Lonchura striata: one gene and its partners. The protein of the gene in region 3 binds, or shares a complex with, the protein of the main gene of each other region. Links are inferred from orthologs where the notes say so. Each region holds a gene or a part of one and is shown on either strand. Other genes may lie near its edges.

Region 1 (8,014 bases), on a different chromosome or scaffold from region 3:
GGGGGTCTGTGCAGGGACAGAAGCTGGACTGATGATCCCTGAGGGTCCCTCCCAGCTCAGGATACCCTAGGATCCTGTAGCTGAGTTCAGATTTTAAATTAACAGCACAAGAGAGGTTTAGGAGGAGGAAACAAGAGAGAACCAACAGCAGCTATGTGTGCAGTGGTGACAGAATTCCCAACTGTAGCAGGAAACACCACAACCCAAACCAGCCCTGGGGAGACTGGAAATAGATGGATACACAAGAGCTGGCACCTCCTTGTCACTCTGTCCTAAATATTCCTTATTCAACCCCCACATGCCCAGAAACAGATGTATTTAAACCCAATCCACACCTCAGCCTGGAAACAAGGAGGCTCTGGGGTGACCATAAAGCCTAAAGGGGCTCCAAGAGAACTGGAGGAATGTCGCCCTGATTCTTAAGATTTTCTAAAGCCTTCTGAGTTTCCATTCTGTTAGAGAACTTTCTCACACAACTTTCTGTAAACAACTTATTGTTCTGCATTCCTTCATAGAGGTGGAGAAACTTGATGTACTAGTAGTTTGTCCAATGTCATTGGAGAGGTGGCACTTGCACCCTCCAATCCACTGTTACCTTTAAAAAAGTATAAATGCTGGAGTCAGAAAATAAACTCTTTCTTTTTCACCTTTGCAATAGTAGCAGCTTGTGTCATGCTTTCATGTGTCCTATACCGACAGAGGAAAACTTTGGAAAAGGGCCTGGAAGGACAGGACAAAGGGAAATGGCTTCAAAGAGACCAAGAGTAGGTTTAGATGGGAGACTGGGGAAAAATTCTTGGCTGTGAGGGTGGGCAGCTGGCATGGATTTCCCAGAGCAGCTGTGGCTGCCCCTGGATCCCTGGAAGTGTCCAAGTCTAGGCTGGACAGGGCTTGGAGAAACCTGAGATGTCCCTGGATGAGCTTTAATGCTCCCTTCAACCCAAAGCACTGCAGGATGCCATGAATGTGACTGTGCCCGGTGTCCCCCGGGCTGCGGGGGCTCCCCTGCACCTTGTTGATGTCGATGGTCTCCAGGGCCAGCTGCCGCAGCCGCTCCCGCCGGTCCCGGTTGCTCTCGGAGGCCGAGGCCACGCCCCCGCTGCCCGTTTTACCCCCGGGCCGGTGCTGGAAATCCATGCTGGGGATTTCTGGGCTTCAGCTCCTCCTGGAGAAATGGAGTCTGCCAAGAGGAAGGAGTGTCAGGGACAACTGAGCCACAGGACTCTTCAGCCGCAGCAGCGAGGGTGGGGGTGACACCCAGGCATGCCCCAGGCACACAGCACGGGATGCAATCCCACATGGAGCACATCCGGCACCACCGACCTGGGAAAGCCGAGTACGGATCCAGAAAATCCCCCCGGAGCCCTTCCCATCACCTCAGCCACTCCAAGCCCAGCTGGGCCCCACCAGAGGAGCCTTCCCCCCTCACCTGAGGTACCAACAGCCCCAGAGCTCCTCCCTGACCACCACCAGGTCTATGCTCCCCCACCACCCCCAAAGCCCCAGGGCCACCCCCAACACCAAGGGAGGGTCAGAGCCCCCCAAGCCCCCCAACAAGGTCAGGGGTTCTGAGCAATGTCCCCAAGCCCCAGGTGAGGTCCTGGAGTCCCCCCTGCCCTCAGCAAGGTCAGAGCCCTGCCTAGACCTCCCCACAGGGAGCCCAAACACTGGAAAGACCTTTGAGGAACCCCAAATCCTTCCCCACAGAGCACCCAGTTCTCCAGTGTCTCGTCCCCAGTCCCTCTCCAGCCACATCCCCCTGTAGCTTCAGTCCTGATTCAGCCAGTCAAGGCCCACTGACTCCCACTCAGGTGCTCTTCCCCATCCTCCCCACACTCCCCTGGCCCTACCCCAGTTTCCCACTCGTGATTCTCCAGCTCCCCCAGCCCCACCACCCCAGTTCTCCTAGTCCCTCCATTTCCAGCACCCTCAGTTTCTCCAGCACCCCCAGTCCTCCCACCCAGGGCACCCAGTTTCCCCAGTACTTTTCCAGTAGCTCCATCCCAGTTCTGCATTCGGCAACCTCCAGGTGCCTCCGTTCCTGCCCCGCTGATCCTCCCAGTAACCCAAATCCTGCCCTGGTGCTACCCTGGTTTCCCACTCGTGATTCTCCAGTTCCCCCAGCCTCACCACCCAGACCACCCAGCACTCCCAGTCCCTCCTCACCCAGTTCTCTCAATTCTTCCTTACCCAGCTCTCCCAGTCCCTCCTTCCCAGCTCTCCAGTCCCTCCTCACTCAGCATGCCAAGTCTCTCCATACTCCAAACTCCCAGTCCTTCTTCACCCAGTTCTCTCAATTCCTCCTCACCAAGCTCTCCTAGTCTCTCCATACCCAGATCTCCCAGTCTCTTCTCCCCCAGTTCTCTGAATCCTCCTCACCCAGCACTCCCAGTCCCTCCTCACCCAGTTCTCTCAATTCCCCTTCACCCAGCATTCCACATCTCTCCATACCCAGCTCTCCCAGTCTCTCCATACCCAGCATTTCCAGTCCCTCTTTCCCAGCTTTCCAGTCCCTCCTCACCCAGCATTTCCAGTTCCTCCTTTCCCAGTTCTCCCAGTCTCTTCTCTCCCAGCTTTTGCAATCCCTCCTTTCCCAGCTCTCCAGTCCTTCCTCACCCAGTTCTCAATTCCTGCTTCCCAGCTCTCCCAGTCTCTCCATACCCAGCATTCCCAGTCCCTCTCTTCCAGCTCTCCCAGTCTCTCCTCACGCAGCACTCCCAGTTGCCCAGCCCCGACTCCCCAGTTCCCCCAGTCCTGCCCCGTTCCCCCTCAGTCCCCCTCTCCCCTCAGTTCCCCCTCTCCCCTCACGGCCCCTCTTCAGTCCCCCTCTCCCCTCATGGCCCCTCTCCCCTCAGCTCCCCTCTCCCCCCTCTCCCCTCAGGGTCTCTCCCCGCTCCGAACCTGCGCGCGGCCGCGCTCCCGCCCCGGCGCCTGCGCGCTCCCGCGGCTCCGCGGTGTTTCCGGCCCGCCGAGGCCGTTCCGGCTCCGAAGCCGTTCCGGGCCCGCCGAAGCCGTTCCGGGCCCTGGAGCCGTTCCGGCCCCGAAGCCGTTCCGGGCCCCGAAGCCGTTCCGGCCCCGAAGCCGTTCCGGGCCCTGGAGCCGTTCCGGGCCCGCCGAGGCCGTTCCGGGCTCCGAAGCCGTTCCGGGCTCTGAAGCCGTTCCGGGCCCCGAAGCCGTTCCGGCCCGCCGAGGCCGTTCCGGGCTCCGAAGCCGTTCCGGCCCCGGAGCCGTTCCGGGCGCTCTGAGGGCGCTTCCGGCGGCGCTGGGGCGGCCCGGGCGGGGCCGTGGCCGGGGCCGGGGCCCGCCATGCGCTACAACGAGCGGGAGCTGCTGTCCCTGGCCCGGCAGCCGGCCGAGAAAGCGGCCGAGATCCGCATGAGTGTCCCCAAGAAGGGCAGCGGTGAGCGGGATCCGCGCGGGGCGCAGCCGGGGCTGGGGTACCGGGGCGGGAGCGCGGGGGGATCGGCGCTGCCTGAGGGGCCCCGAGCGGGGAGGCAGGGCTGGGACAGCGGGAGCGGTGTGCGAGGGGAGCTGCGGCGGTGGGGCTGAGGATACTGGGGAAACTGGGGCGGCTCCGAGCCGGGACTGGGCGAACTGGGAGTGCTGGGGGAGGCAGGGGAAGGTGGGACAGGACCGGCGGTACCTGGGGGGCAGAGTCGGGACTGGGGATACTGGGAGGGACTGGGAAGGTGCCGTGGGTGGTGGGGCTGGGGGAACTGGAGAATCACGAGTGGGAAACTGGGGTAGGACCAGGGAAGGGCTGAGGGTACTTGAGGGGCCCCGACTGCAGAATCAGAACTGGAGCTGCTGGGGGAAGAGGCTGGAGAGGGTCTGGGGGAGCTGGGTGGGAGGATTGAGGGTACTGGAGAATCCAGGCTGGGAAACCAGGGCAGGACTGGGAGTGCTGGGAGGCAGGGCTGGGGACAGGCAGGCTGGGAGGGCTGGAGTGTGGCAGTGGGGAGCACGAGTGCTGGGCTCCAGTATGGGCGTGCAGGGAGGTTCTGGGGCTGGGCTGGGGCCAGGGAGATCCCCCATTTCCAGGGGATCTGGGGAAGAAGGTCTTCCCTGAAATCTCCTAGAAAATTCCCCTGCAAACAAGCAGTGTTGTGCTCACTCCCTTGTCCTGAGCCTTTCGTCCTCTGAGCACCTGCTGGACTTTGTCCCGTGGGGGTGACGCCCGTGCTGGCAGCTCCAGGCAGGGCTCCCAGGATCCGGAGCTTTTCCTGGAGTGCCTGGAGCCCCGTGGTGCTGCTGCTGTGAGCTCTGACTGCCCGGGAGCTGCTCAGGGGCTTTGTCACCCTGAGGCCACTCAGACACTGTCACCCTGAGGGAGCAGCCTCGGGGGGTGCCTTGGTGGGGTCAGCGCCACGCTGGGCCCTGGCAGGGTGGGCAGGGCTCCCCTGCTCCCCGTGCCCCTGCCTCAGCCCTGCCCTGCTCCCTTGTGCCCCTGCAGTGCTGAAGAAGCGCCTGGTGAAGCTCGTGGTGAACTTTCTCTTCTACTTCCGCACCGATGAGGCTGAGGTAGGGATTGGGCCTCTGCGTGGGGTTTGTTCCCCTCCTCCTTTCTTCTTTTTCTATGCCTGGATTGTGTGGGCTGGGAAAATGGTGCATGGCAGAGCTGGAGCAGGGTCCACCTTCCATCAGTTCAGCAGGGCTCCAGGAGAGCTGGAGAGGGACTGGGGACAAGGCCTGGAGGGACAGGACACAGGGAATGGCTCCCAGTGCCAGAGGGCAGGGCTGGATGGGAGATTGGGCAGGAATTGTTCCTGGCAGGGTGGGCAGGCCCTGGCACAGGGTGCCCACCCTGGATCCCTGGCAGTGCCCAAGGCCAGGCTGGACAGGGCTTGGAGCAGCCTGGGATGGTGGAAGGTGTCCCTGCCATGGCAGGAGTGGCACTGGATGGGCTTTGAGATCTCTTCCAACCCAAAGAGTTGTATGAAATGCAAGATAAATCAGGTCTGCAATCCCTTCCCTGCTGCCTGATTTGCTTCTGACATGTTGGTTCACTTGGACAAGGATTTCTTGTGGTTGCTTTTGTTCATGGCCAATGTCACCTGCTGTCCCCGTGTCCCTGAGTAGTACCAGGTGGTTTTTTGGTCATCCTCAGCTGCTGCAGCTCTGCTCACACTTGCAAGGCTCCAGGACAGCCCTTGCATAGCTCAGTGTTGGTTATTCTGGGTGTCACAGTAAATGTTTCATCTTTGATTTTAAAAGCAAATGTTTTTCTCTGGTATCACAGAGTGGTTAAGACCAGGCTGAAACTGAGCCAGTAGAGATGATTGACACCTAATTAACAAATGCAAAGTGTTGCAGGTGAGACTGGCATGAAAAGGTGATTAAAGGAACATGAAATATGGTGCAATCAGAATGAATTATTCAAAAGCAGCACCAGCTTGTGAAAGTTGCTTAAAAGGCTCCAGGGAAGTACCGTGGGTTGAGCCCTCGTGGTGTTGGGGCCCCTGTGGGTTAAACCTTCTCTCCATGTGTTTTCAGCCCATTGGAGCTCTGCTGCTGGAGCACTGCAAGATCACCAAAGAGGAGGAGAACGTCTTCTCCATCAGTGAGTGCTGCCTGTGCACCCCTTTGCCTTCCCCTGGTGGGAAAGGGAATGCTGAATGCTCAGTTCTGCTTTCCCCTGTTTCCCTGGTGCAGTGGGGTCAGCTCAGCCCTTCCCCTCCTCAGTGGGGTCACTGCCCCCAGCCCTTCTCCTCTCCCTCAGTGGGGTCAGGGCCCTTCAGGTGGGGGTCAGGCTCTGCTCCCAGGGAACAGAGGACAAGACAAGAAGAAATGTCCTCCAGTTGTGCCCAGGACAGGTTTAGATTGGATACTGGGGAAAATTTACTCACCAAAAAGGTTTGGAAGTACTGGCACGGACTGCCCAGGGCAGTGGTGGAGTCCCCATCCCTGGGAGTGTTCAGGAGATCTGTGGATGTGGCACCTGGGGACAGGGGTGAGTGGTGAACCTGGTGGTGCTGAGCTGATGGTTGGACTTGATGGTCTTAAAGGCCATTTCCAACTTTACCAATTCCTCAACCTTTCCCCTCCTCAGGTGCCAGCTGTTCCTCACTGTGCCTGTGGCCATCCCGAGGAAAGCTCAGGGATATTCCATGGCACAGCCTGAGGGACTTGCACAGCTGCACGTGCAGAGCAGCACTAAGAGCAGCCAGGCCCCACTGCCTGCCTGTGGAATCTCTGGCAGGGGGAGCTTGGTTATTGACAGATCTGCTCTGTGCTGCTGCATTTTATCCAAAAAACACCCTAGAGAGGCTCAGATAAAGCTGCTCCAGCCCCATCCTCCCCTCTGTGCGTCCTTGTGCAGCGGCAGCTGGGCCAGCTCCCCTGGGAGCAGCCTTTCATCCCGCAGCTCTCCCCTCTGCCAGAGGTATGTGGCCACAATAACAGGATGTTTCTCCAAGGCCATCCCTGTATCTTTTGGCCTGGCTGCCAGGCACAGCTGTGGTTCTGCTCTGTGCTTCCAAAGGACCCACAAACTGCCTGAACACACTGAGCCTGGAGCACCATGTGCTGGATTTTGGGGCTTTAGGGATTTTGGGAGCTCTGGTGGAGGAGGATTCCTGAGCAGGGTTAAACCCAGCGGTACCTGGTGTTGGGATGTGTCCACAGCCCATCCCGAGGTGCTGGTGCAGCCTGACCCAGGTGCTTGGCAGCAGCAGCCCTGAGGGTCTGCTCAGCAGAGCTTTGGGGACAGGAACTGGTGGCATGTCCTGGCTCTGTCCTGGTCAAGAACTGGAGTGGCACCAGGACCTGCTCTCCATGGTGGGAGTACCATGTGAATACCACGTTCCCAAAAGCTTCCAGCAAAGGCAGCTCAGGGCCTTCTCCCAGTGCAGTTTAACTCCTCTGTTGGCTGCTCCCTGCAGGTATCCCAGTTCCTCTCTCAGGGCTGTTCCCACTTGGATTTAAATTCCTGGTGTCTTTGCAAGGGGCCTCAGGGAGTCAGTCCTGGATCTGGCCGTGTGGTCCAGTTCAATTCACCCTCAGTTTGGGAAGCTGCTCTTCCCAAGGTCTCTGGCTGCTGTAAGCTGGGAAATGCTGTGGGCAGCTGCCCCAGGCACCCAGAGCCACCCAGGCAATGGGAGAGGGGCTGGAGGTGGGGGCTGCAGACTCATTCCCACCTCATCTTCGTTAACAGAGCTGCTAATTGTGGCCTGGCAGAGTCTGGGGAGCACCAGCAGCTCTGCCAGGACCTGCCTGGAGCCTTTTCCTTGTCCCTGGCAGGTTTCATCGAGGAGCCAGAGAGGAAATACTGCTTTGAGTGTGCCACGGAGGAGCAGTGCCAGGAGTGGGTTGAGGCACTCAAGAGAGCCAGGTGGGCTGAGCCCTCGGAGCCAGGGCAGTGCTGGGGGCTCTGGGCTGTGTTCTGGGATCAGGAACTGGGAGGGCAGTGCTTGTCTCCTCCCAGACAAGCTTCCCTCCAGCTCGAAATAGCATCTGAAACTTCCCCACATCCTTCTCTGCTCAGCCCTTCCCGTGCTCTGTTCCTGTCTTGCAGCTACGAGTTCCTGAGGAGGAGCCTGATTTTCTACAGGAACGAGATCCAGAAGATGACAGGGAAGGTGAGTGAGTCCCTGCAGCTCAGGTGTGGCTGATGGCTCTGGCTGGCAGCAGGGGCTGTTGCTGCCAGTCCTGCCCAGGCTGTGTGTGGGAAGGAGATTCCAGATCCCATAGGGAGCCATGGTCTCCACAGCCAGACCTGAAGACCTTCTCCTGGGTGCTCACCTAACTCTGATACACACTCTGATGCTGGAGTGGCCCAAGGTTTGGAGCTGGACAGGCGCAGAGCTGGAACAGTTCACACCTGGGCAGATCCATGGGTGGAGATGCTGCTCACCCCCTGCTCCAGGGAGGGACGTGACTGTGGCTCCCCTGGACCTTGGCTCCCTGCTGTGTCCCGTGTGTCCCAAGGGCTGCTGGGCTTTGTCTGCATCTCACTGGTGCCTCCCTGTGCTCCCCCACAGGACCCCCTGGAGCAGTATGGGATCTCTGAGGAAGC
Region 2 (6,829 bases), on a different chromosome or scaffold from region 3:
CAGGAAGTGGGAGGAAAGGAGAGGTGGAGGGAAGACAAAAAGAGGAGATCCTGATCCATGTCCCCTCCCAGCTCCTCCCTGTCCCCTCCCAGCTCCTCCTGGACCCTCCCAGCTCCTCCCGGTCTCCTCCCAGCTCCTCCCGGTCCCATTCCACCTCCTCCCGGTCCCTTCCAGCTTCTCCCGGTCCCTCCCAGCCCCTCCCAGCCCCGTACCTGGGTGGTGCATCCCTCCCGGAGGGAAGGGGTGCGGGTGAGGGGGGTGTCCCCCGGCGGGGGCGGCTCCCGAGGGCGGTCCCGGGGCTCCGGCGCCCGGGGGCATCGGCGGCGGGGGCATGGCCGGGGGCATCCCCGGGGGCAGCGCTCCCGGCGGCGGCACCGGCGGAGGGAAGGAGCCGGGGGGAGGCAGGCCTGGCACAGAGGGAAATCACAGAATTCACTGAATTATCAGAGATGGAACTTCGAGATCATCAAATCCAAGCCAGCCCCAATGCCTCAGCTCAACCATGGCACTCAGTGGCATTTTTTAAACACCTCCAGGGATGGTGACTCCACCACCTCCCCAGGCAGCCACTCCAGAACTTTATCACTCTTTCTGTAAAAAATCTTTTCCTGATATCCAGCCTGTACTTCCCTTCAGGCAGATTGAGACCGTAACCTCTCGTTCTGTCAGTTGCTGAAGAAAAGAGACCAAGCCCACCTGACTCCAACCATTTTACAAGTTGTAAAGTGATGGGGTCACTCCCGAGTCTCCTTTTCTCCAGACTGAACATCCCCAACTCCCTCAGTTGTTCCTCACAGGGTTTGTGTTCCCAGCCCCTCTCCATACCATACAGGTGTGGGGCACACTGATGGAGAGTGAGCCAAGAGAAAAAAAAACCCAAAATTTGGGAAAGAGCCCTGCCCCATAAAGGTGCTGGAAAATGAGCCAGGAGGAAAAAATACCCTAAATTTGGGAAAGAGCCCTGCCTCATACAGGTGCTGGAAAGTGGGCCAGGAGGAAAAAAAAACCCTAAAATTTGGGAAAAAGCCCCACCCTATACAGGTGCTAGAAAATGGGCCAGTAGGGAAAAAACCCAAAATTTGGAAAAGAGCCCTGCCCCATAGATGTGCTGGAAAGTGAGCCAAGAGGGAAAAAATTCCTAAAAATCTGGGAAAAAGCCCCACCCCATACAGAGGCTGGAAAATGAGCCAGGAGGAAAAAAACCCATAAAAATGTGGGAAAGAGCCCTGCCTCATAAAGATGCTGGAAAATAGGCCAGGAGGAAAAAAAACCAAAAAATCGGGGAAAGAGCCCCACCCCATACACATGCTGGAAAATGGGCCAGGAGGAAAAAAAAACCCTAAAAATTTAGGAAAGAGGCGGGGATCGCGCGCCAGCACCTCGAGCCCCGCCCCGGGCAGCCGTGGCACCCACCTGGCGGGGTGACGCCGGGCCCCAGCGCGGTGACCACGGGCGCGGGCACCGAGGGCGGCGGCGGCGCGTCGGCGAAGAGCTGGTGGGGCCGGTCGGCCTGGGACAGGGGGTTCTGGGCCGCCAGCAGCCGCTCGGCCGCCGAGCCGTGCCGCTCGCCCTTGGAGTCCTTCTTGAAGGCGTAGGACACGGTGATGGGCCGGTTGCACAGGTACTGCCCGTTCATGGCCTCGATGGCGGCGTCGGAGGCGTCGAAGCTGGCGAAGTTGATGAAGGCGTAACCCTTGGAGTTGCCCGTGTCGGGGTCCCTCATGATCTTGGGGGTCTGCAGGATGACCCCGAAGGCGCTGAAGGTGTCGTAGAGGAGCTTCTCGTCGATCTCGGGGTCCAGGTTGCCGATGAAGATGTTGGCGCCCACGTCCAGGTTCTTGTTGTGGGCCGAGGCCTTGTTCACCCGGATGGGTTTGCCGTAGAGCTTGATCATGTTCATGATCTTGATGGCGTAGTCGGCGTCCTCCTCGCTCAGGAACTCCACGAAGCCGTAGCCTGGGGGATCCCAAAGGAGCTCAGGGGTGGGGCAAGACCCCTAAATGACTTCAGGGCACAAAGCCACTCCCCACACCCCGATTTAAAACTCCAGCTCGTTAAAAACCCCATGTAATTATCGACTGAAACCCCCTTGGTTTTATTGTATACCACCTCATACTCGATTCAATCCCCACTTCATGCAAACCAACACCTCCTGAGGGACAGAGGATGATCCCCCCCTCTCCCACACCACAATCCCACCCCCCTCGTTGCCGTTTTGGGGGTCCCTCACCCTGGTGCTGGCCCGTGACCCGGTCCTTGGGCATGTGCGTGTTGACCACCGGCCCGGCCTGCAGGAAGAGCTCCCAGAGCAGGGGCTCGCTGACCTTCTCGTCCAGGCCCCCCACGTACACCGTGGCATCTGCGAGGAACGGGGCTCAGCGCCGGGACCCCGCCACCCCCCGCGCTCAGAGTCACCCAAAACCCTCCCCTCAAAACCCTCCGGTCAAAACCCTCCGGCCAAAACCCTTCCCTCAAAACCCTCCCGTCAAAATCCTCCACTCAAAAGTCTCTATTCAAAATCCTCCCCTCAAAACCCCCCCATCAAAATCCTCCCCGCAAAACCCTCCGGTCAAAATCGTCCCCTCAAAACCCTCCGGTCAAGATCCTCCTCTCAAAACCTTCAGCCAAAACCCTTCCCTCAAAACCCTCCACTCAAAATCACTCCACTCAAAACCCTCCAGCCAAAACCCCCACAAACCCCAATCTCTCCTCGCCACCCTTAATCCAGGAGCCCCACAGCCTCTTTTTCCTTTGGGAAAAACCCCAGCCCACCGTGGCCTCGGAGCTCCGCCTGCTCCTCCCTCCGTATCCCCCCGCGGCCCAAAACCCCCTCCAGCGCTTCCAAGGACTCCCCACTCCCCACAGAGCCCTCGCCAGCACCCCGCACGGCCCCGGTGCACTCAGGCGTCCCCAGAGCGCTGCCCCGGTGCCCCCGGGCCGCTGCCGCCGCTCCCACCCTGGTTCCTCTCCGAGATCGGCCCCGCCGCCATCTTGCCCCGCTCCGCGCGCGCGGCGCCGCACGCACGCACGCACGCACGCCGCGCGTGACGTCAAGGCGCGAGCCCGGCGTTGGCGGGAAGCGCCGTCGTGAGGGGAAGGCGCGGCCGCCATCTTGGGTGCGGGCAGGGACCGCCGCGCTTCGTTCTGTCGCGACAGGACCCCTTCTGTCGCGACATGGCCTTTCTCTCCCGACACGGCCAGCAGTGCCCTCAGTGCCCCATGATCCCAGCGGCGCGGAGGTCCCAGGTGTGCGCTCCCGCAGCGTCCCCATCCCATCCCCATCGCTGAGCTCCCGGAGCCTCATGGAGGCAGCACAGATTTAATGGGGGACCGAGAGCCCGCAGCGCCCGTGCAGCAGCGGGGGCACCTCGGGAGCCGCCGCTCGCCCTTCCCGGCACCGCCGAGCAAGCGGAGGCGGCGGGAGCAGCTGGAGCAGCTCTCTGCTGAGAGCCCCCGAGCGGGGCTGGGCTGGCTCGGGTGCCCCCGGCTCTCAGTGCGGCCTCCGCAGGGTCCAGGTGTGGAGACGGTCCTGGAGCAGCTGCAGCTCCTCAGCCAGCCCGGCCAGCGATGGGGCCAAGCGCCCGCGCTGCAGAGAGAGCGGCCGGCACGGCGTGGGGACAAGGACACGGGGAGCAGGACATGGAGAGGTGCAGTGTTCATCATGGGACAGGGACACGAGGATGGGAACACGGGGCAGGATGTTCAGCACAGGATGGGAACATGGACGAGATGGGATGGATGGACATGGGGTCCATCTGTCCATCCATCATCCATCCATCCATCCATCATTCATCATCCATCCGTCCATCCATCCCTCCACCCCCATGGACACACAGACACCAGCTGCACACAAACTGGCTCCATCCTCCCCCCCAGCCAGACTGGGACCCCCCCCAAACCACCACCCCCAGTCTCCAGCCCTCCCCCGTGCCTCAGTTTCCCCAGTACCTGTTCCTGGGGCAGCCCCCTGAGGTAGCAGCGGTGCCAGAGGCGGACGCAGGGCCCGGCGGTGCAGGGCAGGAGCAGCCCCGGGGTGGGCTGGCAGGTCCCCAGGAGCCCCCCCTGTGTCCCCTGGCTGTCCGAGGGGGACCCCCGCAATGGGGGGCGCAGGGGGGGGCGGCTCCACCAGGGCAGGGGGTGAGGGCACAAGGAGCCCTTGGCCAGCGTCAGCACCAGGCTGGCACCCCGCCACGGGCAGGGGTCTGCGGGCTGGCAAAGGGGGAGCGGGGATTAGGGAAAATCAAAAAGGGGTGAAAGGAAAATGGGGGAGGAAAAGCGGGGTGAAAAAACAGGATTTGGAAATAAAAGGGGATGAAAGAAAGAGGAAACGGAGGGGATAAAAATAGGGATTAAGGGAAAAAGGGAAGCAAAGGAAGGGTGCAGCCCCCCCCAGGCCAGCCATACTCACCGTGCTGGGGGTCCGGGACTCAGCAGGGCCCGGGGGTCCCGCGGGGTTCTGGAACTGCTCCCGCTGCTGCCGGGTGTAGCGCCGGCCCCAGGCCCACACCGGGGGAAAGCTGCAGGGCTGGGGGCCTCCCCTGTGTCCCCCAGGGTCCTGCCAGCCCCCCATGGGTCGGTAGATCTGGCTGGGGAGCCGCGGCTGTGGGGGAAGTGGTTGGGAAGTCAGTCCCCTCTTTGGGATGGGGAAACTGAGGCACGGAGCCGGGGGGAAAAAAGGGGTAAAATGGGAGATCTGGGGGTGCCCGTCCCCAGTTTGGGAATGGGGATGGAGAAGGGGTGAGATGGGAGAGTTTGGGGGTGCAGCAATGCCCCTCACCGTGCCGCTGTGGCCCTGCTGGCGTTGGCAGCTGAAGCGGAAAGTGCTGAAGTAGGGGCTGAAGCTGCTGTCGTGGAGCGCCAGGAGAAAAGCCTCAGTGAAGCCAAAATCCGCCGGGAATTGCCACAGGAGCTGCCAGGTGCAGTCCAGGAACAGCAGGAACACGGGGGCCTGGGGGGGATTCGGGATTGGGGGGGGGGCTCACCCCTCACAGGCAGGTCCCAGCTCCTGTCACCCCACTGGGACAGCAATGGGGGTCTCACCTCCTCCCGAGGGCTGTCCCAGCTCCTGTCACCCCGTTGGGACAGCAATGGGGGTCTCACCTCCTCCCGAGGGCTGTCCCAGCTCCTGTCACCCCACTGGGACAGCAATGGGGGTCTCACCTCCTCCCGAGGGCTGTCCCAGCTCCTGTCACCCCGCTGGGACAGCAATGGGGGTCTCACCTCCTCCCGAGGGCTGTCCCAGCTCCTGTCACCCCGCTGGGGCAGCAATGGGGGTCTCACCTCCTCCCGAGGGCTGTCCCAGCTCCTGTCACCCCGCTGGGGCAGCAATGGGGGTCTCACCTCCTCCCGAGGGCTGTCCCAGCTCCTGTCACCCCGCTGGGGCAGCAATGGGGGTCTCACCTCCTCCCGAGGGCTGTCCCAGCTTCTGTCACCCCACTGGGACAGCAATGGGGGTCTCACCTCCTCCCGAGGGCTGTCCTGGCAGAGCAGCCCCAGCCGGCGTGGGAAGGGGTGCCCGGCTGCCACCCACTCCCGCTGCACCAGGCTCTGGAAGCCAGGCAGGGAGCGGGCGTGGGGGTCCCCCAGGAGCTGCACCAGAGAGGCCACCAGGCAGTTCAGGTCCCGGTCCGAGGGCTCTGGGGGGGCAATGTGGTGATGATGGGGGTCCCCTTTCCAGCCCCCTCCTGTCCTTTTCCAGCCCCACACCTTGCAGAACCACGGAGCAGCGCTTCCCTGCCAGCAGCGACGCCACCTCCACTGCTTTTCTCAGGCAGGAGCTGGGGGGCAAAAGCAGGGCTTCAGGGCACCCCAAAATGTCACTGTCACCCCTTTGGGTGGCTCATGCACCCACCACAATGCCCCCACTGCCCCACAGTGCCAGGTGGGCTGGGGGCGGACATTCCACCATGGGATTTATGGTGAATTTTCCCCAAAATACCACCCTACACCCCAAAGACCCCCTGCTCACCGGACGTGGTCCAACCAGCGTGTCCCCTCCAGGGCCGAGAGCCACTTCTCCTCTGCCACCGCGCCTGGATCCCACGGGAGGGAGTTTCAATGGGGGGTTCCCAGCTCCCCAGGGGGAGTTTGGGGGTCCTCGGGGTCCGCCCAGTGCCACTCACCAGGCAGGCAGAGCTCCCGCAGCCTCAGGTGGGCGAGCTGGATGTCGGCCAGCGTGGGCAGCTCGGCCGTGTCAGCCAACACGCAGGGCCCGCGGTCCCCCAGCAGCAGCGCCTCCAGGCACCTGGGGGGCACAGGGAGCCCCGGGTGGGGCCAGGTTGGGGGGCACAGGGAGCCCCGGGTGGGGACAGGTTGGGGGGCACAGGGAACCCCAAGAGGGGACAGGTTGGGGGGCACAGGGAACCCCAAGAGGGGCCTGGCCAGGGGCACCCTCAGCCCCCCACCCCGGGGCCCCCTGGCACCCACCTCACATCCTCGCTGCCTGGCTCCGAGGCCCGGTGAAAGCTGGCAGCTCTCAGCAGGTCCCCTCCACCCGGGTGGTGCCAGCACAGGCGCTGCAAAAAAATCGGGGTGACACCCCCACATCCCCTCCCAGTGCCCCCCACCCTGCCCAGGCACTCACAGGCACCCGTCGCTCCTGAAAGTGGCCAAAAGTTCGCTTGAGGTCGTGGTCCAGAAGCCCACTGGGCACCCAGAGGTACTGGGGGAGGCTGTGGGAAGGTGGGACACGGGTGGGGTCCCCCAAATCTCGGGTGCCATTTCCAGTGGCTCAGACAGTGCTGGGGACCCCCGGGGCTGTACCTCGGGGCCATGTCGAAGCGCTCATTGACGGCGCTCACCCTCCAGCCCGCAGCGCCCAGACGCTGCA
Region 3 (7,502 bases):
AACCCCCAAAATCCCCCCCAAACCCCACACCCCCATGCCCCCCACCCCCCAAAATTCCCCCCAAACCTGTGCCCGCTCCTCCTGCAGCAGCAGGGCCCCTTTAACCCCCCCAAAATCCCCCCGAAATCCCACACCCCCGTGTCCCCCAGACCTGTGCCCTCTCCTTCTGCAGCAGCAGGGCCCCTTTAACCCCCCCAAACCCACACCCCCGTGCCCCCCACCCCCCAAAATTCCCCCCAGACCTGTGCCCTCTCCTCCTGCAGCAGCAGGGCCCCTTTAACCCCCCCCAGACCCCCTTTAACCCCCCCAAACCCACACCCCCGTGCCCCCCACCCCCCAAAATTCCCCCCAGACCTGTGCCCTCTCCTCCTGCAGCAGCAGGGCCCCTTTAACCCCCAAAATCCCCCCCAAACCCCACACCCCCGTGCCCCCCACCCCCCAAAATTCCCCCCAAACCTGTGCCCTCTCCTCCTGCAGCAGCAGGGCCGCCTGCTGCTGGGCCAGCGTCAGCCGCTCCTCCTCGGAGAGCCCCCCGGGGGGGGCGGGGGCGGCACCGGGACCCCCCCCACGGGCCCCCCCAGACCGAAAGTGAGCCCCAGGCCCGGGGGGGGAGGGGGCGGCACCAGGGGGTGCTGCAGGGGCAGCGCTGGGGGCAGCTGGGGAGGGGGAGGAGGGGTCAGGGTCACCTGGGACACCCCCACCCCAAAATTTCATCCCCCGGGATTCAGTGGTGGGAGGGGTCTGAATCCCCTGATCACCCCCACCCCGAAATTTAAAACCACAAATGCCTCAAATTTGGGGGGTTTGGGTGGGTTTTAACCCTCCCTCCACCCCAAAACTGGGTGTTATTGCTCCCCCTCCTAAATTTGGGGGGTCTGGGTGGGTTTTAACCCTCCCTCCACCCCATAACTGGGTGTCATTGCTCCCCCCCACCTCAAATTTGGGGGGTCTGGAAGATTTTGAGCCCCTCCACCCCAAAATTGAATGTCATTGACCCCCCCCATCCCAAAAATGTGGAGCTCTGATGGATCTTAAACCCCCCCAAAATAACCCGTGGATTGCCCCCCCCCCCCCCCACCCCAAACTGGGGGTCCTGGGGGTGCCCCCAACCCCCCCTCCCTCCAAACCAGACCCTGGGGGGTTCCTGCCCCCACCAAACCCCCCCCAGATCCCCCAAAATCCCACCTGGGGGGGCGGGGCCTTGTCCCCCTCCTCGGGGCGCAGAGCAGGGCGGCTCAGCACGATCCCAGTCTGGGGGGGAGCACAAATTTTGGGGGGGTTCCCATGAGCCCCCACACTCGAGAGGACATGGGGACCCCCCTTCTGGGAGGGCAGGGACAGCAGGAGCTCTCTCACCCCCCCAAAAATGGAATAAATGCCCCCAAAAGCACATTAAACCCCCCAAAATCAGAGTAAACCCACCCAAAATCTCATTAAACCCCCCAAAATCAGAGTAAACCCACCCAAAATCTCATTAAACCCCCCAAAATCAGAGTAAACCCACTCAAAATCTCATTAAACTCCCCCAAATCCTATTAAGCTCCCCAAAGTCCCATTAGGACACCTAAAAAATCACATTATACCACCCCAAAATCAAAATAAACAACCCTAAAATCACATTAAATCCACCAAAAATCCCCTCCCACCCCCTCAAAACCACATTAAACCCCCCAAAAATCACATTACATCCTCCAAAACTGCCATGAGCCCCCTCAAAATTCCATTAAATTCCCCCAAAATCCAATTAAGCCCCCCCAAAATCACAATAAATCCCTCCATAATCCCATGAAATCCCCTCAAAATCACAACAGACCCCCCAAAAACGAGTCCCCCTCCTTTAAGGGACACAAGGAGGGGGGAGAATTTGGGGTCCCACCGTTTTGGGGGTCTCACCTGCAGGGTGTAGGCCTGGAGCCGCTCCAGCAGCTCCTCCCGGGTCCCTGGGGGGGATTGGGGGGGTTCAGGGATCCCCAAATTCTGCCCCACAAACCCCAACCCCCCCCACGTTCCTCTGTCCCCCCAAGGAACCCCAAGAATTTCCCACCCCAGGGACCCCCAAAATTCCCCCAGGGACTCCTGACCTCCCTCAGGACTCTCAAATCCCCCCAGGGAACCCCAAAAATCCCCCAAATCCCCACAGGTGACCCCAAAATCTTCCCCCTTCCCCTCAGATCTCCCCTCAAGTGACCCCAAAACCCCCAAATTTCCCTCCTACCCCACAAATGTCCCCTCAAGTGACCCCAAATTTTCCCCATCCCCTCACACCTCTCCCAAATCCCCTCAGGTGACCCCGACCCAGCCAATTTCCCCTCAGACCTCCCCTCAAGTAACCTCAAAACCCCAAAAATGTCCCTCCTACCCCTCTGATCTTCCCTCAAATGACCCCAAAAATTTTTCCTCCTACCCCTCTGACCTCCCCTCAAGTAACCCCCAAATTTCCTCCTTCCCCTCACACCTCCACCAAATCCCCTCAGGTGAACCCTAAAACCCCCCAATTTCCTCTCTTCCCCTCAAGTGACCCCAAAACCCCCAAATTTCCTCCTTCCCCTCACACCTCCCCCAAATCCCCTCAGGTGAACCCTGAAACCCCCAAATTTCCCTGCTACCCCTCAGATCTCCCCTCAACTAACCCCCAAATTTCCTCCTTCCCTTCACATCTCTCCCAAATCCCCTCAGGTGACTCCGACACCCGCTCAGTTTCCCATTCAGATCTTTTCCCCCAAATCCCCTCACGGCTCCCGTTCCCCTCACGGCTCCTCCCGTTCCCCTCACGGCTCCCATTCCCCTCAGGTCCCGCTCCCCTCACGGCTCCCGCTCCCCTCACGGCTCGCCCCCGCTCCCCGCACCCTGCGCGGGGGCTCCGATGCCGGCGAGCGTGGCCTGGAGCTCGGGGTGGGCCCATCCGGCGTAGGGGGAGCGCTCGGGGGCTCGGGGGTCCCTGAGGGGCTCCCCGGGCCCGGCCGCCGCCGCCTCCGCGCGCTCCGCCGCCATCTTGGCCCCGCCGCCGCCGCCGCGAGCGTCGCAGCCAATCAGAGAGCGCGGCGCCGCGCGTGATGACGTCACGGGGTGAAAAGGGCGGGGCGTGCGCGGGTATTGGGGTAACGGGGAGGGTGACGTCACGGCGGCGAGGGTGACGTCACGGAAACGATGCTGGCATGAGCGGTGCTGGAGTGACGTCACAGGATTCGCTAGCCCTGCTCATTAGCATGGCCCCGCCAAGCCCCTGCCCCACATCCCAGACCCTCATTTGCATAGCTCCGCCCACACCACCTGCATTCGTTCACACCTATTTGCATAGCACCGCCCCCAACCCGCGCTCATTTGCATCACGCCAGGATTTCAGCTGGTTTGCGTGAGCCCCTCGGTGATCCAGCCCATCATTTGCATAACCGCGCTCATTATGCAGATGAAGCCCCGCCCTCTGGCCTGGCCACGCCCCAAACGCGGCCATTAATTTATCACCGCGTGGTTCCGTTTAGGCCCCGCCCCCTTTTGGGCGGGCTCAGTATTAGACCCCGCCTCTAGAGGGGCGTGGCCGCCTCAGCTTCCGCCTTCCTTCTCGGAAGTGACGTCACCGCCGCCGCTCTACCCGGAAGTGCTGCCGCAGGTGAGCGGGCGCCGCTCGGTGGGGGCGGGGCCGGGCGGGTCCCGGGGGGTCCCGGGGGGTCCCGGGGCTCCCCCCCCGCCCCTCCCCCCCCGCCGGGGGTCCCTGAGCCCCCCCCGTGTCCCCCCAGCCCCGCGATGTCGCGCGCCACCAAGCGGAAGCACGTGGTGCGGGAGCTGCTGGAGGAGCGCGTGCAGCCCGCGGAGGGCCAGAGCGTGGTCAGGGTGAGAGCGGGGACAGCGGGGACACCGGGGACAGCGGGGACAGCGGGGACACTGGGGACAGCGGGGACAGCGGGGACACTGCGGGGACAGCGGGGACACTGCGGGGACAGCGGGGACAGCGGGGACAGCGGGGACAGCGGGGACATGGGGACAGCGGGGACACTGCGGGGACAGCGGGGACATGGGGACACCGGGGACATTGGGGACATGGGGACACTGGGGACAGCGGGGACATGGGGACACTGCGGGGACATGGGGGACAGCGGGGACACTGCGGGGACAGCGGGGACAGCGGGGACACTGCGGGGACACTGCGGGGACAGCGGGGACATGGGGACACTGCGGGGACAGCGGGGACATTGGGGACATGGGGACACTGCGGGGACATGGGGACACTGCGGGGACAGCGGGGACACTGCGGGGACATGGGGGACAGCGGGGACACTGCGGGGACACTGGGGACAGCGGGGACACTGCGGGGACATGGGGGACAGCGGGGACACTGCGGGGACAGCGGGGACATGGGGACAGCGGGGACATGGGGACAGCGGGGACATGGGGACAGCGGGGACAGCGGGGACACTGCGGGGACACTGCGGGGACAGCGGGGACATGGGGACAGCGGGGACACTGCGGGGACACTGCGGGGACACTGGGGACATGGGGGACACTGCGGGGACACTGCGGGGACATGGGGGACATGGGGGACACTGCGGGGACACCGGGGACATGGGGACACTGCGGGGACAGCGGGGACATTGGGGACACTGCGGGGACATCGGGGACAGCGGGGACACTGCGGGGACATCGGGGACATTGGGGACACTGCGGGGACATCGGGGACAGCGGGGACACTGCGGGGACAGCGGGGACATTGGGGACACTGCGGGGACATGGGGACACTGCGGGGACATGGGGACACTGCGGGGACAGCGGGGACAGCGGGGACACTGCGGGGACACCGGGGACATGGGGGACACCGGGGACACTGGGGACATGGGGGACACTGCGGGGACACCGGGGAGACCGGGGACATGGGGACACTGCGGGGACAGCGGGGACACTGGGGACATGGGGGACACTGCGGGGACGTTGGAGACTGGGGACATGGGGGACACTGGGGACATTAAGGGATTGGGAACATCAGGGGGATTGGGGGGACATTTGGGACCCTGGGGACACTTCGGGGACGTTGGAGACCCTGGGGACATGGGGGACACTGGGGACACCGCAGGGACATCGGGGGGGACTGGGGACACTTAGGACACCGGTGGGACACCAGGGACATTGGGGGGATATTTGGGACACTGGGGACACCGGTGGGACACCAGGGACATTGGGGGGATTGGGGACATCGGGGGGATTTGGGGGGACATTTGGGACATTGAGGGACACTGGGGACATGGAGGGGACACTGAGTGTCCCCGCAGGTGTTGGGGACACCGGGGAACAACCTGCACGAGGTGGAGACGGCGGAGGGGACACGGTTCCTGGCCAGCATGCCACCGCGCTTCCGGCGGCACATCTGGATCAAGAGAGGTGACACCGCCACCCTGTCACTGTCACTGTGTCACCCTGTCACTGCCACCCTGTCACTGTGCTATTGTCACCCTGTCACTGCCACCGCGCTTCCGGCGGCACATCTGGATCAAGAGAGGTGACACCGCCACCCTGTCACTGTGTCACCCTGCCATTGTCACCCTGTCACTGTGACTGTGTCACCGTTTCTCCCATCCTGTCATTGTCACTGTGCCATTGTCACCCTGTTAGCGTCACTGTGTCACCCTATCACTGTCACCCTGCCACTGTCACCCGTCACTGTCACCCTGTCATTGTCACTCTGTCAGTGTCACTCTGTCAGCGTCACTGTGTTGTCGTCACCCTGTCAGCGTCACTGTGTCACCCTGCCATTGTCACCCTGTCGCTGTCTCGTGTCACTGTCACTTTGTCACTGTCACCAGGGCACTGGCACTGCCTCCCTGTCACTGTCACTGTGTCACCCTGTCATTGTCACTGTGCTATTGTCACCCTGTCAGTGTCACTGTGTCACCCTGCCATTGTCACTGTGCTATTGTCACCCTGTCAGTGTCACTGTGTCACCCTATCACTGTCACCCTGTCAGCATCACTGTGTAACCCTGCCATTGTCACCCTGCCATTGTCACCTTGCCACTGTCACCCTGTCATTGTCACCCTGTCAGCGTCACTGTGTCACCCTATCACTGTCACCGTCACCATCACTGTGTAACCCTGCCATTGTCACCCTGCCATTTTCACCCTGTCACTGTCACCCTGTCATTGTCACCCTGTCAGCATCACTGTGTCACCCTATCACTGTCACCCTGTCATTGTCACTGTGCCATTGTCACCCTGCCATCGTCACCCTGTCGCTGTCTCGTGTCACTGTCACTTTGTCACTGTCACCGGGGCACTGGCACTGCCTCCCTGTCACTGTGTCACCCTGTCATAGTCACTGTGCTATTGTCACCCTGTCAGTGTCACTGTGTCACCCTATCACTGTCACCCTGTCATTGTCACTGTGCCATTGTCACCCTGCCATTGTCACCCTGTCATTGTCACCCTGCCATTGTCACCCTGCCGCTGTCTCGTGTCACTGTCACTTTGTCACTGTCACCGGGGCACTGGCACTGCCTCCCTGTCACTGTCCCCAGGCTGTTCTGTGTCACCGCGCCATCGTCACCCTCTGGCTGTCACCGCGCCACCGTCACCAGGGCGCTGCCGCCGGCTCTTTGTCACTTTGTCACCGTCACCCGCCCTCCCCCACTGTCCCCTGCTGCCCCTCCCCACCCCGGGCGCTGTCCCTGCGTCTGTCCCCAGGCCACTCCTGTGACCCCGTGACCCCTGGGTGACCCCCGGGTGACCCCTGGGTGACCCCCGGGTGACCCCCGGGTGACCCCTGGGTGACCCCCGGGTGACCCCCGTGTCCCCCCAGGCGATTTCCTGCTCGTGGATCCCATCCTGGAGGGCTCCAAGGTCAAAGCCGAGATTTCCCTGGTGCTGCTCCCGGCCCACGTGCGCTCGCTGCAGCGCCAGGGGCTCTGGTACGGCCCCGAAATACCCCAAAACTACCCCAAAAAACCCCCCCAAAACCCAAAAAACCCCCCCAAAACCCAAACGTACCCTAAGGTACCCCCCAAAACCCAAAAAACCCCCCCAAACCCAAACGTACCCTAAGGTACCCCCCAAAACCCAAAAAACCCCCCCAAACCCAAACGTACCCTGAGATACCCCCCAAAACCCAAAAAAAACCCCCAAACCCAAACGTACCCTAAGATACCCCCCAAAACCCAGAAATAGCCACCCAAACCCAAAATACACCCAAACCCAAAAATACCCCAATAATACCCCCAAAATATCCCTAAACTGCCCCCAAAACCCCCCCAAAACTCAAACATACCCTAAGATACCCCCCAAAACCCAAAAATAGCCACCCAAACCCAAACATACCCCAAAATACACCCAAAAATACACCATAACTGCCCCAAAATAGCCACCCAAACCCAAAATACCCCCAAATCTCTAAAATACCCCCAAAATACCCCAATAATACCCCCAAAATACCCCTAAACTGCCCCAAAAAACCAACAAAAAAAAATCAAAAAATATCCTAAGATACCCCCCAAACCCAAACATACCCTAAGATACCCCCCAAAA
Region 4 (7,161 bases), on a different chromosome or scaffold from region 3:
TTTCAATTATATCTGAAAACCTCATCAAGATACATTTAAAAGACAACGACCTGCAGTAAGCTTTTACACATTTCTAAAGCTAAGAACACTAGAATACCTGTTTTCTGCTTTCCTGTTCTTGCTTGGACTGGAGGATCGCGACCGTCTCCCTCTACTCCTGCTCCTTGAGCGCCTCCTGTCTCGGCTCCGGGATCGTCTCCTCTCTCGGCTCCGTTCCCTTTCTCTGCTCCTTGAACGTCTGACATGCAACAAAATTGTCTTTACTTAGGATATACTCAGAGCATAACTTTATGCTTCTATTGAGGAACAGGTTATAAAAGGAACCCACCAACCATCAAGACCGCTAAGAACTTACAAACTCCAGCACCAGCAAGCCAGAAAGCATTAAATAAGGAAAAAGCCTTAAGCATTGTGAAATCCACCACAGGCATCAGCAAAGTAACTAGCTGGAGTGGGAGAACATCAATATTCAGCGGACAGGCACTTTTAGTGCCTTGACTGGAGCTGCCGTCGTACCTTTGACGCTTCCTGTCCCGCGAGCGAGACCTTCTCTTGTCCCTGCTGCGCGACCTCTCCCGCCTGCGGTCCCGGTCCCGGCTCCGGGAGCGCCTGTCCTCGCGCTTCCTCTTGTCCGACGGGGAACGGCTCCGGGAACGGCTCCCGGAGCGCCCCCGGGACGCAGAGCGCTTCCGGTAATGCCTGCGGGCACGGTCAGAGTGAGCACCAGAACCATGTGCAGCAGGCAGAATAATTATCTGAAATTCTTGGGCTTCTTAAATGTCTAAACTTCTCCAATCATCTTGGCAAACTGATTAATATACATACTGTATGTATAATATACATATACACTCTTAATGATGCTGAAATTAGAAGGATTATTTGCTCATTATTTTTCTTTTAGTTTTAGAGTATTATTATAAGCACATGAGAACACCAGAACATCAAGAACAATTTCCTTTTCAGAAATCCACTGATTTCCATTTAATATATAGGAAAATCTGAAGGCTCTTTGAAACTATCTCAAAACCTTTCAGACAAACAAAACTGCTCTTTGTTACTTTTTATGCAATAAATGTTTACCCATATAAGGTAGGTGAACTATACTTCTGCTCAGTGGGAAAGCTGTCAGACTGGAATTAAAGAAACATAAACCCTCAAGGAAGTAACACACCTGTGGTCAATGCCTTTACCATGCTGACATTAATAGAAATTCTGTAATATCAAATATCACAACAGAAGCTGTCGAAAGTCAGCAAGATTGAGGGGTGTGAGGGAGATGGGTGTCTGCTTTCCTCCTCTCATTAATGCTCTTATCCTAACCACACTGTGGGGCAGAGCAGGGAAAGGAATTTTCTAGGAAACTCTTCAACTGAATGTAGAAGTCACAGAGGGACTGTGACTGTGACCATTTCCTCTTCCTCCAATCCCAGATTTTCAGACACCATGCCAGAATCATTCCTTTGTCACTCTCCTGTGGCTCAAGACTCACAGAGCCTTTCTCCTGACAAGCCCAATAGTCATGCTTGAGAAGAAGGAAGAAGCAGAGAAGACAAGACTTGAAGCCCCCCACTCTTTGTGTCACTTGCATGGTAGTATTAAAATAGTTCAGCTCTAAAAATAGCAGTATATTTATATCTAGTCTATGTTATGTGGTATATTTAGGCAGCACATGCACTTGGAGTTAGTACAGTAGCACATATCCACATCCTCCTGCCTATCAGCAGGATAACTGACTGCAAAGAACATCCTTCTGCATGGAGACTTTTGTTTGATTTTCCATCTCCATCTCAAAATGGCATGGGATCTGCTCTATAAATCCTCTCTTTCTAATCTTATAGTTTTAGAGAACTACTTTTGTTTTTATTTTTTCTTCCTCTATAGTGTGCAATAAAGACAAAAAGATGATTTCAAGTTCCAGAAGCCCCAGTGTGAGGAACATTTCCTCACACCAACCCTAACACATGCACCCATCTCCACCCACCATTCACTCTCACTCTCTTACCATTTCTTCACTTTTAAAACTTTTTGTACGTTAAAATAGAAAATTAATACAAGTTTAAACCCACTTTTAGCATTATTTTTAGCCCAAATAGAAGGACTCTGTCATTTTCAGAAGAGAAGCTATATTGTGATAAGCAACTGAGTCCTGCTGGCTGGAGTGCCAGAGCCTGGTTTTCAATTCAGAAGGCTGTAACAGAGCCCTGTACCACCCACTGCTGCCCCAGCTCATCTGGAACTAATTTAGATAGGTTTGTGGGAGTGCCTAGCTCTGCAATAGATCACTAATTTGGGCCCAAGATGGTTGTTAAAATTTCAAGTAATCTGTCTTTCTTGGGGTGAATCTCCGTGATGGACCTGGGAACTATTAGAGTGTAGCAGAACTGCATGTGAGGACTATCATGTCAGCTTTAGCATAAAAATCTGATTAAACTACGAGACAGAGGCATATGCCCGACAGCACTAGCAAATTGTGGAATGGCTTTAAAGCCTGGTAGGTGTGAGCAGCTCCGCATCATCTGGAGCACAGGTTCGGCCCGAGTCACACGCAGCACAAGGGCACATTACTGCCGAGCTGGTTACAACCCTAATCAGGGCTTTACATCACTGGGAGAGCGCAAAATATACTGCTCCATAAACACAAAAGACACGAACAAAACCATCCAAATCAAGCTAACCCCTCTGCGTGGGCAACGATGACATTTTGGAACAAACCCGTGAAGGCCGGAGGTGCTGGTGGCACCTCGGACCCAGCCAGGCCCGAAGCGCCGCGCGGCCTCAGCGCGCCCGCCGCCCGGGAAAGCCGCGCCGCGTTGTCCCCTCACGGCCGCCTCCCCGCGCCGCGCCGCCCGATCCCCGAGCGCGCCGCGGCCGCCGGGCGGGCGAGGCGGCGGCGCCGCTCCCTCACCTGGACTCGCGGCCCATGGCGGCGGCGCTCCCGCTACGCGGCGGCCATTCCCCGCCCGCGCGGCGCGCGCCCCGGGAGCGCCGCCCCTTCCGGCCGCGCCGGCGCCCCCCGGCGGGCGGAGGGCGCAGCGCCGCCCCGGCCCAGCCGCGCACAGCGCCGAGGAAGCGGGTAACCGAGAGGCTTTTAATAGAAAACAATCGCTCCGGCAATAAACGTTAAACACAACTACGAACACCAGCAGAGGTAAGTTAAAAACGGAATAAAAGAGATTGGTTTCTTGGTCTAAGGTCGTTTCTTGATCGCCGTTTCTTCATCGAGGTTTCTTAATTAAGCACAAGCCCCTCCTGGTGCTCTGCCCATGCAAGGGTATTTATCTGATTAAAATTTATGGTGAGGATTAAAATTCATAGCTTTTTACAGGTACTGGTGTAGGGATTTTTCCAATTTATTTGTATTACATTTGGGCATATAAATAGAGAATCAGAACAAGTAATTTTTAAGTAAACTCATTATTTATGTATCTCAACTTTATCTTAAATTACTGTAATTTCAGTTTTCTGAAATTACTATCTAATATAAATAAATTTAAAGTTGCTGAATCAATACCTTTGCTGAAAAACCTAAGTCAGAATTTTCTGCAACCCAGCCCTTTATATCTGTAATATAATACTCACCATAACAGAACCAGTTTAAAAAAACCCCATGAAAATGGTCAAATCAAAACATAAGGTTCTTGTATTCAGGCCACAAACATGTCTCTAATTTAAAAGTCAAGAAAGCATCACTAAAATTGCAGGAGGAAGCTTTAACAAAAAATAATCAACTGAAAGCTGGGCCATTTAGAGAGATACAATTAAACACATCTGCGCCCTAAAAGAACCTCTGCAGGCAAATACCAAGTTAAATATGTAGTTTACTATGCTAAAAATAGGCAACAGCCTATACTACCTGAAAGTCCAGACTTTAAAAAGAAAACTACAAGCTGAAAACACTACCAAATTTCGCTTCAACAGAGATTTTCAGAGATTATCAGTGTTTAAATTGACTATTTGGAATGACACTTCCTCTCACTGTGCAAAATTCCTAAGAGATTGAAAACAAAACTGTATCCCTTGTAAGTTTTACAAACACTAGAGCAAAGATTTGATACTGCAGGCTGGGTGCCAATATGTAAAATTCTCATGAGACAACTGGTAACATAAAAAAAAAAGTATCAGTACAGGTGTGAGCTGCACTAGGATTAGGTTGCTGGAAACTCATAAACAGATGTGGTTAGTTCTATTTTTTCTTACTTTTTGAATAATGACCTTTATAAGCACCAAGACCTTCTTGTTGTTGGTTTTGCCCAGCTCTTTTCCACAACAATCAAATTAAGTTAATCACAATCACAACAAGTAAAATATGGCAAGGCAGGGATAAGAACAACTAAGTGGCAAGTTTCACCAACATTCTCCAGAAAGCAGCTACTTGGTTTAACATTCTGAACTTGAACATTTGAAAAGAATACAGGGATTTCTTTTCTTTAGAGCTTTCTGTAAAAAATGGGAACACCAAAAAATGAGCAGGTCTTGTTAGCTATAGTCATACAGGATATACACATATATATGGTTCTGCTGGAGGGAATTCTTTTCTTGTTCTCACTGAAAAGAACAAAGGCAGCTTTGTAAATGTTTATGAAGGAGGCTGAGAAGGGTGTCATCTAACTAAAACAAATAAATCATCCACTGTCACTTGCATCCTAATCTTCACATTTGTAATATGTAGACACAGTATTTAAATAAACTGAACCAACACAACTGGCAGTCTGGGACCCTGCTCTCCCTTTCCCAAAATTATTGGATTTAAGGCCCCTTTCAAGCATTCTAACAGGTAAGAATTTTAATGAAGGTTTAGACCTGCCTGCACAGTCAAATGTTAAAAGGAACAGAAAGCTTTAGTGTAGCTACTGTGTGGAATTCTACAGTCATCATGGTACTTCAGAGCCAAAAACCAAAATAAGTTCATGGCAAAAGATAAAAGTAAAGAAATAGACACAAAGGTCTGTGAAAACATCTCCCATTTTGCTGTAGGTGTCCATGGAGCGACTGATCACTTCTGCAGGGATTCCAGAGAGGAGAAGAGCAGCAGTCAGTACTGTTGTTTTCACCTTCTTCTCACACTAGAAGGGAAAGAAAACCAATATCATGTTAGTTCTCCTAATCCAATTCTGCTTTACATGTCACCGATGTTGTGCTAATTTCACACGTTCCAAATGCGTTGTCAGAGTAGCAGGTTTGCATTGATCCTGTCCAGACACACTCCAGGAGTCACAGCACTTATCCGAGACACAGATTCCTGCTGTGATGGATCTACCAGTGACAGGCTGGCTAACAGCAGATAAAATTCATCCTGGATATTCTGCCTCCTTCACACTACTTCTCCCAGCAGGCTGAGATGTGAGGCTGGGCAGCTGCTCCTGCATGAGTGGGAACATTCCCAGACAAGGGAAATCTAGGTGTAAGGAGCCAAGCCTGGCATCTCCACTGTCAGAACTCGATTAATCCATTCCACTATTCAGCAAAAAACAGAATCCCAGAATGGTTTGAGTTGGAAAGGACCTTAATGCTCATCTCATTCCAACCCCCTGTTATGAGACACCTTCCACTAGACCAGGTTGCTCAAAACCCCAGAAATATTGTTAAGTTTTCTAAGAAAAAAATTATTTAGAGTTGAAAACCAACTTTTCTGTTTTAGAACAACTTACTTTGGTAGTTTTATCCTCTGAACTCAGAAATGCTCCAAACTTTTGAAAGCTGTTCCATCCTTAAGATGAGGAATCCCAAGGATGCAAGTCTGACATGCAGGAAAAGGTGATAGTAGCTGAAAATTCTAATAATTTGATGATAATTGCTGGATATTTTAATTTAATCCAATCTAAATTAGGCTTTCTGAATATTTCTGTGTTTCATGGGAGAAAAATGAAGGTTAACAAAGGGATTGACCTCACCCACCCACGTCTAACTGCAGTAAAAGCAAATTGTGGAAAGGAGCCACCTCTTGAATTCTGAAACTGAAGGGTGGATTTTAAGTACACAAGAAACAAGATCAAGGTGATGTACCAGATGAGCTGGTGCAAATCTAAGGCTAATCTTACTGTTTTGTGTTGTGACACATCAGCTTAGAATGACTATTATGATATGCTTAACTACAAAACAACTGCTGATTTATTCTGATTTTCTACAAGTAATCTATTATTCCTTTTAAAATGCAAATTTTCCCTTTTAACTGTGGATTGAACATCATTCAATCCCACTCTGCACCACAGAACTGACAAAATCATCAACCTAACAAATGCTTAAGGAACAATTACTTGTTGTAAATATATAAAGCAAGTGGTATAGCAAATCTTGCTAATAAGCAGCAAGTTTCACACACAGATAAATGTCTCATTTCAAGCTGTCATTTAAACCAATACCAGCAGTGGAAAAAACTCAACATTCTGCCTCATTTTTTAACAACACTCTCCCAGATTTCATTGGGATATTATATGCAGAACAGCTGTTTAGCAAAACAAATAATAACCGGGGAAGGGCATGGTCTAGAAGAAAAGCAAGTTTCCTGAAGACATGAAAGAACTACCTGGATTTCCTGGTCAAACACTTTGAATTAGGCTACAGCTACACAAGCTGCTAGTTTTCACTGCAGCTTTTAAAAATATCCTGGACTAAATCTGGAAAGATTAAAAACTAGTATAAACTATCAGCGCTGGTCATTCAACTATACAGTTTAAAACAAGGGAAGAATACTTCACATGCATCGGTCCTAAAATACAATCTAAATACAAGTTTAAACTTAAAACACCTCAAATTAATCTAATTCTGAAAAAAAAATTACCTTTGGAAAGTACTTGGACAGTCCCATGTAAGCAAGTTGTAGAGTAAGAAACGGTGCAAATATTGACTGAAGGAACAGAAAAGAATATATAAAAATTAACTTGGTCAGAATAGCTAAGAAACACAAAGATTTAATGCTTCCAAAGCAGAAAAGAAAATTATTAGGTAAAAATTAATTTGTGGAACAGAGCAAAGTTGTTCTTGAATACTAAAAATCTAAGTAGACAAGTTACATGCCAAAAATAAGGTTCTGCCTAATATTCATTGAGCCAAAAGAACTGAAATGGCAGAAGAGAACAGCAAAGTGCAAAACTGAGCCCAGGGATCCAGGAGCTGTATGGCTGCAGCTGCATCACACCTCTGTGCTTTTGTTCTCGCTGGCAC

The links.
Region 1: SF3B2 (region 3) and SF3A2 share a complex: the UniProt entries of both Homo sapiens proteins name them as parts of the 17S U2 SnRNP complex. The link is inferred for Lonchura striata from reciprocal best matches to the Homo sapiens genes SF3B2 and SF3A2.
Region 2: SF3B2 (region 3) and SF3B4 share a complex: the UniProt entries of both Homo sapiens proteins name them as parts of the SF3B subcomplex of the 17S U2 SnRNP complex. The link is inferred for Lonchura striata from reciprocal best matches to the Homo sapiens genes SF3B2 and SF3B4.
Region 4: SF3B2 (region 3) and DDX46 share a complex: the UniProt entries of both Homo sapiens proteins name them as parts of the 17S U2 SnRNP complex. The link is inferred for Lonchura striata from reciprocal best matches to the Homo sapiens genes SF3B2 and DDX46.

What each region holds. Positions count from the first base shown.
Region 1 is NC_134630.1:2,944,590-2,952,603, reverse strand, and holds the start of SF3A2 (splicing factor 3A subunit 2), read right to left. Parts: upstream 3,012-8,014; 5' UTR 2,902-3,011; intron 2,211-2,901; exon of another isoform or gene 2,191-2,210; intron 1,181-2,190; 5' UTR 1,138-1,180; coding exon 1,012-1,137; intron 1-1,011. Other genes in the region: PLEKHJ1 (pleckstrin homology domain-containing family J member 1), read left to right, coding at 3,307-3,400, 4,454-4,521, 5,494-5,560, 7,240-7,330, 7,514-7,577, 7,980-8,014. UniProt on the Homo sapiens protein: Component of the 17S U2 SnRNP complex of the spliceosome, a large ribonucleoprotein complex that removes introns from transcribed pre-mRNAs.
Region 2 is NC_134635.1:2,714,939-2,721,767, forward strand, and holds the start of SF3B4 (splicing factor 3B subunit 4), read right to left. Parts: upstream 3,006-6,829; 5' UTR 2,991-3,005; coding exon 2,957-2,990; intron 2,360-2,956; coding exon 2,231-2,359; intron 1,957-2,230; coding exon 1,414-1,956; intron 408-1,413; coding exon 213-407; intron 1-212. UniProt on the Homo sapiens protein: Component of the 17S U2 SnRNP complex of the spliceosome, a large ribonucleoprotein complex that removes introns from transcribed pre-mRNAs.
Region 3 is NC_134638.1:660,575-668,076, forward strand, and holds the start of SF3B2 (splicing factor 3B subunit 2), read right to left. Parts: upstream 3,001-7,502; 5' UTR 2,992-3,000; coding exon 2,847-2,991; intron 1,941-2,846; coding exon 1,894-1,940; intron 1,252-1,893; coding exon 1,155-1,251; intron 633-1,154; coding exon 457-632; intron 1-456. Other genes in the region: putative RNA-binding protein EIF1AD, read left to right, coding at 3,742-3,828, 5,259-5,367, 6,781-6,889. UniProt on the Homo sapiens protein: Component of the 17S U2 SnRNP complex of the spliceosome, a large ribonucleoprotein complex that removes introns from transcribed pre-mRNAs.
Region 4 is NC_134617.1:9,331,710-9,338,870, forward strand, and holds the start of DDX46 (putative ATP-dependent RNA helicase DDX46), read right to left. Parts: upstream 3,001-7,161; 5' UTR 2,923-3,000; coding exon 2,906-2,922; intron 700-2,905; coding exon 517-699; intron 239-516; coding exon 98-238; intron 1-97. Other genes in the region: guided entry of tail-anchored proteins factor CAMLG, read right to left, coding at 4,872-5,063, 6,779-6,844. UniProt on the Homo sapiens protein: Component of the 17S U2 SnRNP complex of the spliceosome, a large ribonucleoprotein complex that removes introns from transcribed pre-mRNAs.